2 linked regions of the Mus musculus genome follow. The protein of the gene in region 2 purifies or fractionates together with the protein of the main gene of each other region. This does not show direct contact. Links are inferred from orthologs where the notes say so. Each region holds a gene or a part of one and is shown on either strand. Other genes may lie near its edges. The genes, in order: Prkacb and Akap7.

Region 1 (4,563 bases), on a different chromosome or scaffold from region 2:
AGTCTATGGATGTGATGCCTATTCAAACCACCACACTATCCCACTTCAGTTTTTGTGGGGGGTTCTTTGGTTGTATCTAGGAATCCAAAACGCCAGAGCTGATTAGCCAGAGAAACAGGTAAATTATCAATTTTACAAGTACTTGAAGATCTTCACAAATAGTAAAGTCTGAAGAAGTGACTGATACAGTATATATATATCGATGATAGTGCACTAAGTTCCTGGCATAGTCTGAAGAGATATATATGTAGGGGTATGTTTGAGAGTTATGTCACAGTTTATTCCAGTTCGTGGTATCCCCCAATTAATAGTATCTGGTGACTAAGGTTATTTTCTTATCTTGGTATGTAAAGGACATTTTCCCCACACAATATGGCTTGTTGAAATGAAAGAGCACCAATGGTCTATTCTGAAGTTATAACCTTTCAATTGATTTTAAATAGAAATAATAAATATACCATTCTGGCGCTTTTTGAGATGGTATGGCTTTACCTTCTTCATTTCAAGGTCTTCTAATTAGCTTTGGATAAGTCCTTTAATGTCTCTGTGCCTCTGTGGATCTTAAGTAAAACAATGATAGTCTTGCCACATTTGCATAGGGACTTTATGAGGAAACTAATTACTATTTGTACAACACTTAGAACGCAGTATACTTGGTGTACATGCTTGGTAATTTAACATAATTGCCAATAATAGAAGTATGAATCTGTTTAGAATCTTCCACTCACCGCTACTTTTTTTCCCCAATAACAAAACTTTTAAAATGTTCTGGGAAATCTCCTTAGCAGCCAACAACCATCCGTTCATTACGCGCCAACTGTGGTTTGTGCTGCAGACACAAAATAAACTTACATGGTCTCTGCCCTTCCAGAAGTTAATCTTTCTGTTCTAAATTTGGAATGCTTTTTTTTTAGATAGCAAAAGCTCAAAAAAAAAAAAAAAAAAAAAAAAACCAGAACAAAAACTACCAGAGGGCTAGGTGATTAATTTCTAATAACCTCACGGAAAAGCTCAAGTACTCTCAGATGCATGGAAGCGCAACAATCAATTGGGAATGCGTTTATTTTGAAATTTGTGACTGTGTTGATGCACATAACGTACTTGTGTAAAACAGGCAACACATTCCCATATCTCTCCTTAGAAAGCCTGACAGAATTTGTGAGGGCAATCAGGTGAGACCATGAAGAAGGAACTCGGGAAGGGATAAGCTGTCAAGAATGTTGGTGATTGACCTGGTGTGTTGGGAGAATACCTAGAAGAGCGAAGGGAAGAAGTTCCAATGACAGCTGGGAGCTGAGAAAAGACATTCCTGGCCAACGCTGACCTCAGGGTCAGCAGGGTCGGCAGGACGCGGAGGGGCGCACGCACGTCCCTGCAGCCACGCAGGAAGATCAAGCGAGAGCAACCACGGCGTGCGGAACGCGGGCCACACGGATGCGGGAGCAGGCCGAGCCCTGGCACTGTGCCCCCCGCCCGGCTCTGGGGCACCGGATGCCAGGCCGAGGAAGGATCTGGGGTGCTTCCAAACTAACGGTCCCCACGTCCCTCGCTACTTCGAGCTTAGCCTCCGCGGCCAAGCCCAGCATCCACGCAACAAGCAATAAGTTACCGCTACAACCCTGCACAGAGGGGCTCCCGCCCGCCGGGGGGCTTGACCGCGTCACTTCCGGCGCGCCCGCCCGGAAAGAGGCGGAGGTCGCAGTCCGGGTGTGCGGCTCCTGGGGACGCGCCGTGTCGGGGACGCGCGTGGAGGGCGGGCTCGGGAAGGGGGAGTGTCCGCGCGCCGCCGCTGCCGCCGCCGCCACCGCCGCCACCGCCGCCACCGCCACGGTCCCGGTCTCTGCCGGAGAGCTCTCAGCATCTCTCCCGGACACCCAGCCCCTCCGTGCAGCCGGACGCCGCGCTCTAGGGTCTGCGGGAGCCTAGCCAAAGCCTAGCCAAAGTTGCTGCCGACTGCGGGGCGGGCGGCGGGACGGCCCCGGTCCCCTCCCCTCCGTCATCCCTGCTTGCGGACTCCCGGGTCATGGGGAACACTGCGATCGCCAAGAAAGGCAGCGAAGTGGAGAGCGGTGAGTCGAGTCGAAGGCCCTGGCTGGGTTCCCGCCGGATGGGCCGCCGCGCGGTGCAGCGCCCTGGGCCGGTGTCCCCCCCAAGGCCGCGCGCGAGCCACGGGCCGGGCCTTGCAGTGGCCGCGGGGGCCGGCCGCCTCCTCCTCTGTCCCCTCCCCCACGAAGGCTCGGGGGTGAGGGCCAAGCCCCGGGGCTCACTGGAGAGAGGGAAGGCGGGCAGCGAGGTCCCTGTGATCCCCTTTCTTACTAGAGCGAGGAGGGCTGCCACGGTCTGGAACGCGTCCCCAAATATGGTCCTTTTGTGATCGCACCCTTAGCTCTTCTTTCTCCCAGAGCCCCCAACACCCAGACCCTCCTTTAAGGGAGCCACAGGTAGTACGTTTGGGTTGACTTGGCTTTTTCTCCTTCTCCTGGATGTATATCAGTTTTCTCACAAGGTGAGTGTCCGTGAGGGTCTCCAAAGGTGACGTTAACCCTTAGTGTCTAAGGCTCTTTCTTTCACCCAAGAGATTAGAGATGGCAGACATAAATACAAGCAGCAACTTTATCCATTCGAGGAAAAATAAGTGAGACAGCGTTGCGTTTACTCTAGACATCCAGGAATGTTCCAGGATGCCTGTAAAACTTAGAGGCATTTCAGAGTTGAAGTGCTTTCTTCCGAGAGCTGAAAGTTCAGACGTTCAGTACTGTGTACAAAATTTCAAGACAAAAGGGTCGTGGGAATTGAGTTTCTGTGTAGCAACTTGGTTTTATATGTAAGCATACACATATATGCGTGTTGTGTAACAGGCTGTGAGAAAATTGTGTGCCATTATTCGGCTCATATTATAATTTATAATTCACAATAATTAGAGAACGGTCCCTGACTTTTGTTACATTGCCATAGGTTAATGACATCTCAGTCCTTGAAGTAAGTCTGACAATTTGTTCGTGTTACTGTAAGTAACGTCTTCCATTGTGTCTGTGTTTATAACAGAAGAATGAAGCCAATCTTGTAATTAGCTTGAAGCAAACAGCTTTTGATTCTCATGAACAAAGCAGAGTTGAGTTGACAGAAGAGAGTCTAGCTATTGCTTTTGTGGAATGTAAACAACAGTCAGATTTAACGGGTTATGTTTCATCAATAAGGTTCGTTCCAGGGCATGGAACAGCAGGGCAAACTGTTGGTGAGCATGTGACAACTTGAAAAGCCGATGTAGAATTAGGACTTCCTTGTTATCTTAGTAATTGTGCAAATGTAGTAACTAATTGTACAGACTCACAAAAAATGAAGTATGACAAAATACTATATCCATGTAACATTGCTTTTCCCCTATTTCTCTTGTACAATGTATGCTAATTGTGTTATGAAAATATGCTTGATAGTTGGATCAGCCCAGTAATTTTCTTAGCAAGTGCTATCTTGCACAGTTCTTATATTTTTAATGATAGTCCACTCTCCAGCAGTCTATACACTTCCCCTAGACGATATGCATTTAAACTAGCAGCTATGACAAAGTCTTGTGTGAACTTATTTATAGAAACTGAAGAACATTAGAATCATTTGAAAAATATTGTGAAGTGTCGAAAGAAGACAGCAGATGTCCCATGGGATATAGGAGACGGTCATGGCTCAGCTCTCAGGGCTCACAGGGGGAAGTGTCAGCCAGGTGTGCTGGTGCTCTTCTGTAGCAAAGAAGTGGTACAATGTCATAAAACGTAATGACAGAACATGGCTTACCACTCTGTCCCCAACTCTTCTGTGTACTTTTCAGATGAATTATTCCTGAAAATTTGTGGCTCATATTTTAAATGTAATCATTTAAATTTCTCTTGATACACAGAATACACTTTAAGAGATACACTTAAGAGTTTAGTCTACGAAATCATCCTAACTCAAGACCCAACCAAGTGCCAGACCTGAAGAAACAAGAATTGAGATCATGTTATCAACGAGAGAGTAAAGAACAGCTCTGAGGCTCTGACTACCTCTGCATCACTAATTAATCTGTCCTCTCTCAGAGTAGCTACCACCTGCTTGGGTTTCCTCGTAGACCTGTGGACAAGATCCTAAAGTGTCACTTACTGTGTAGCATCAGGTGAAAGGCAGAGTGTCAGTGCTGGAGCTGAGAGTAAATTAGACCACAAGACGTTACCAGCAGCACAGTGTTTGGTTTGAAGAGCTAATTAAAGATAGGAAGGTAAGATTTGCAGTTTGATGAGGAAGTGCCTCCCACAGACAGGGAATTCTAGAGCTTAATTCTAAAAATACTCCCAAGGAATGAAGTTGGGTATAAAGGTAAATGAACAGGCTTTGGGGGGTTGTTTTTGTTTTGTTTGGGGGAGGTTGTTTTGTTTGGGTGTTTTTTTTTTTTTGTTTTGTTGTGTTTTTGTCAGTGTTGTTTTAGTTTGCTTTGGTTTGCTTTGGTTTTGTTTCTTGTTAGCTTTGAGCACCCAGGGCCTTGCTCCTACACCCACAAAATTAAAGGATTCCATTCTGATCATCACAGTTTCT
Region 2 (4,511 bases):
ACCCCAGGCTGACCTTGAACTAGCAATCCTCCTACCTTAGTTACCAAAGGGCTGGTGTATGCATCACTGTATCTGTCTCACAGATCTCGAAAGAAGTGCAGATCATTCCACAGAACAATATTTCTCAAACTAAATCTCAGGAGCCTTGCTCCAGGTTTGCACACAGGGATTTGGGCAAAGTCTAAGGGATATAACTAAATATATCCATTACAACCATACTTCCTGTTACATAAGCTGTAAATACTTCTCTCTGGGAAAACTGCCTTAAAACAGTCGATCTTTAAGATTTAAAGCACAAATTCATTGTTTTGGCTGCTGTAATGTTGCTTAAATAAACTGAGCCTGGTAGCACAGACCTGCAATCCCAGGTACTTAAAGAGTTGAGGCAGAATAATAAATTAAAAAAACAAACAAACCTATACAACTAATTTAGTGAGATTGTTGTCTCACCTGTAAAGTTAACGGAGCTCGGGATCTACCACCATGAGAGAGCTCTTGCTTGCTGCGTACCAGACTGAGATTCAACTCTACAAAGTACATCAAGCTATGTCAAAGTGTGTAAGCCAGGCGTGTTAGGTCACACTTGCAATCCCAGGGAGGCACAGACAGGAAGGTGAAGAGTTCAAGGCTACCCTCAGCCTGAGCCACATGGCACAAAGAATTTTAAAGTCACCCAAAATTTGGTCTGTCACTAAAACAAAGTGTATCATTTCCAAAAATCCAAATAATCACGGGAGTAAAGGTTACACTAATAATGATGACGTGAAGCTGGAAATTAGCAATACTAGAATTACTAGTTTTGCTAATTAGACATTAGCATTACCAGCATTACTAGCCAACATTGTAATGGGTACTTTATGCCAGGCACGCGCACTTTGCTAAGTAACTCATTTAAACCTTAACAACTCTGTTATAGGGAAGACTAGTATTACACCAGGCACCGACTTAGGAACCTGCCCACAAGTAAAGTAGATTCAGGAGCTAACATTCGGATCACGTGAACATGTCACATGACCCACAGTTTCCAGAATCACTCTTTACCATATACTGATGGCAGCACTGTAAACTGAGGCAGGAAGCAATGGGTCAACAGGTGAGAAGCACGGAAGATGGCCTAAATGTCTTACTGAAATCTGGGTTCCTCTCACATACACTCAAACAGGCCTCCTCGCAACCTTGCTTGAAGCAAAGAGAAAAGGGGAACTAATTTAAATGTCTAACAGAGAAACAACTAAACAGTGCATGATCATTCTGGTGACTGAAAACCACCGGTATGAGGAGTCTAACAACAGGGGGAAAGGCGACTCTCTAACAAGCAGATACGCAGTCAAGGTCATGCTGACTTAGCATACACAAAGCCCTAGGCTTTATCCCCAGTGTTACAAAAACAAGCATAAGTCAAAAAGTAGCTAGAAAACTGCATGTTCCCAAGACGTACGGGTAGGAAAGGAAGAATAAAAGCTGAAGTGTTTCTGAATGCCAAATACTTTCCAACCACTGTACTAGGTTGTTTCTAAAGTGAATATTGCTTTTGTAAGAAAAACCATGAATGTATGTAAAGAATCTTCTCAAGCCAAGAAAGTAAATGCATTCAAATCCTCAGATCACAGGGACACTTCAGCAAACACTACCAAAGCCAAGCAAACAGAAAACAAAAAAGACAGACAGACAGACAGACAGACTGCCCAAGTCCTACAAAGTAAGTTTCCTATCTGAACAACAAAACACACCTTCATTGGGCAAGACTCTCTTCTGGTTCCCCAGCACTGTAAACAGCTATGGAATGGGCCTGTCATTCATTACGGTCTATCTACTTCGACTAGCTACGTAAAACAGCAGAGTAGGTCTCCAGAAATGTTTAAACTTCATGCCAACCAGGCCACTTACCCAGTGTGCTTCCATTTGCGCCTCATGAAGAGGGAGCAATCCAAATTATTAAGGAGAAATTGACAAATCGACACTACATGAATGGAAGGACCCAGTAAACTGGACAAGTGCCATAAGCTTTGTCACTATAGGGAAACGATGCGCTAACAGCATCCCAAACTGCAAAGCCACACGGTGTAAAAAGGTGAGAAGAGTCCTCTCTTTCCAACTATTACCCTATTCCCTTCTGCCTATTACCCACACTCCTGTAACCTTATAAAAACATCTCAAGCAGGGACACTCTGGGCATCTCCTCACGTGATACGAGTAATTGCATTCACATGAAATTTATAAACGCATGTACATTATTCACCTGATTTATATTTACATACATATAAAGTATTTACATAGCATGCTTGGACTGCCTATTTTAATATTCTTACGCTTTGTATACATGTAGGTGTTCTTGTAGAACACCTTTTTCCCCTTACTTCCCAGTCCCTTTCCCTCCGAGTCCAACCTCTAATTCCTACCCAGGTTCAGCATACAACGAAAGTTGACCCAAGCTGAAGTACATCCTGGGCGCCAGCAGATTGGCGCCCGTTTTAAAGTGTGCCTTGCCAAGCCTCGAGTAAAACCCTAAATGAGACAAGACAGTGTTCAGAGGCTTCTATTTGCCATTTTAAAAAATAATTAGGTAAATAAAACGGAGTTTTTTTTTTCCCCCCTTGATTTTGTTAACCTCCCCAACACAGTAGGAAAGGATGTGCTGCAAAACTCTGGGTCATGGGTCACAAGATAGGAAGAGGTAAGAGAAACAACAACTTGTGTGTACACCCCTTTCGGTTCGAGGAGTGGAGTGGTGCACGGAGACCCACGGATGCAACCAAACTGCCCGGACTACCGGGCTGGACCGGGATGCCCAGGGTGTAGGGGGAGGGTCGATCGCGAGGGGCGTGGGGCTGCGGGCGGCCTGGGAGGCGGAGCGGGGCGGGCGAGCACGCCCCACGGCAGAGGCCGCCCCGGGGCGCGCAGGGCGGAGCGCTCTCACCCACGGCGGGGCGCTCCATGGTCGCGGCGCAGAGACGGAGGCGCGGGCCCGGGGCGCGCGGGACGGCGGGGGCGCGGGCCGCGGCGGCCAGGCCTGCGGAGGCGCAACGCCCCGCGAGTCGCAGCATCCCCGGCACCCGCCGCTTCAGGAGGAGCCGGAAGGGGCCGGCCCGGCGAGGCGTGGATACCCGGATCGGGGCGGTCCCCGGGGCCGTGCTGGGCTCGGGCTCCGACCTCTGGCCGCCCTCGGTTATTTCCTGCGGCGCGGCCCTTCCCGTCCCACGCTCGGAGGGGCGAGCCAGGGATCCAGAGAGCATTCCTTGGCCCGCTGTCCCTTGAGAACCCGTGTGTTTGCTTTAGCGTGGAGCTTTGGAAACACAGATCTGATTGCAAAATAGGCGGGCTGAGCAAAATGTACAATACAATAGCGAGACCTTGAACGTCGCTATAATGAGATGCTTTTATTTACTTGCCATTACCCCCCCCCCAAAAGTAGCATTTTCAACAGCAGTTTAAGAGCTAAAAGTTGGAATTGTTAAATGAAATCATCTACAAATTTTTTGCAGGCAAGGCTCCTCAGTATCTGAATAAAATAAGAGAAAACTATTTTTTTTAATAGTTAAAATATGAATATGTCTTGTAGAAAAGAATGCTACTGTTTTTTTCCGGGCTGGGGGCAAATGGTGGTATTACTGCTGGTTTGTTGGGGAATGTAATTTTAATTTAAGAAAATATGGTGGTGTGTCTCTTCTCCACAGCTGTAGCCCTTAAAGCTGGTAGGGAACTTTGAAGAATTCCCTGCTTAGCCCCTTTTTGTGGATCTTCACGGAAAACGGTCTTTTTAAAGGAGCAGGCTATCTAATCACAGAGAAAGAACGAAAAATAAGTAAGGGAGCTTGCGGCAAGAGGATCCTCAAAGGCCAGCCGATGCTAGCTGGACTGGACAGGGTACAGATAAGACGTTTAAGCATAAGGATTACTTTACGCAGTAGACAGAGAAACAACTCTTTGCCCTCCCTTTTCCTGCTGGAAGTAGACTATACATTTCTCTTTGTAAGGATTACTCCCCACTCTGTTTTAAAGGTGTATTTATGTAACTGGGGAGTAGGAGCAGTGCACTGACACAGCAAGGTTGACAGCCAGTTTGCAAAGAGTAGAGCACTACCCCCACTCCCCCCTCCTCGGGCTTCACAAAGGACGCTACAGACCTGGGAGACGTGGGTTCTGCACCTCATGTGTGGTCTGATGCTTGGGGGCGAGGTGTCTTCCTTCAGCTCAAGAGCCCACTCCTGGATTTCCCTCCTTTTAAAAACAAAACAAAACCAAAGCGCTGTGTTTCTATTTTAACCACACATCTGTGGTGTAATCCTTAGCCTTGGGATATAACTTCAGTGGAGGAACCAGAACACCAACCCAGCCCCCAAACCTTTCACCTACAATCTACCCTGTCTGAAATAATGTGCTGGGGCAAAGGAGGCAAAGATCTTGGGAGAGTGGCCAACCAGTGACTGCTCTAGTCTGAAGCTCACGCCACAAAAGGAAGCCCATGCTTGATACTACAGCATGACCAGGAACCAGAGGCTGGACAGCCCAGA

The links.
Region 1: the proteins of Akap7 (region 2) and Prkacb purify together in Homo sapiens (affinity purification with mass spectrometry; 4 studies listed by BioGRID and IntAct, counting the BioPlex papers as one, with this or other methods). This does not show direct contact. The link is inferred for Mus musculus from reciprocal best matches to the Homo sapiens genes AKAP7 and PRKACB.

The regions. Positions count from the first base shown.
Region 1 is NC_000069.6:146,810,144-146,814,706, reverse strand, and holds the start of Prkacb (cAMP-dependent protein kinase catalytic subunit beta), read left to right. Parts: upstream 1-1,760; 5' UTR 1,761-2,023; coding exon 2,024-2,069; intron 2,070-2,076; exon of another isoform or gene 2,077-2,506; intron 2,507-4,563. UniProt on the Homo sapiens protein: Mediates cAMP-dependent signaling triggered by receptor binding to GPCRs.
Region 2 is NC_000076.6:25,294,011-25,298,521, forward strand, and holds the start of Akap7 (A-kinase anchor protein 7), read right to left. Parts: upstream 3,070-4,511; 5' UTR 2,918-3,069; intron 2,727-2,917; exon of another isoform or gene 1,888-2,726; intron 1,882-1,887; exon of another isoform or gene 451-1,881; intron 1-450. UniProt on the Homo sapiens protein: Probably targets cAMP-dependent protein kinase (PKA) to the cellular membrane or cytoskeletal structures.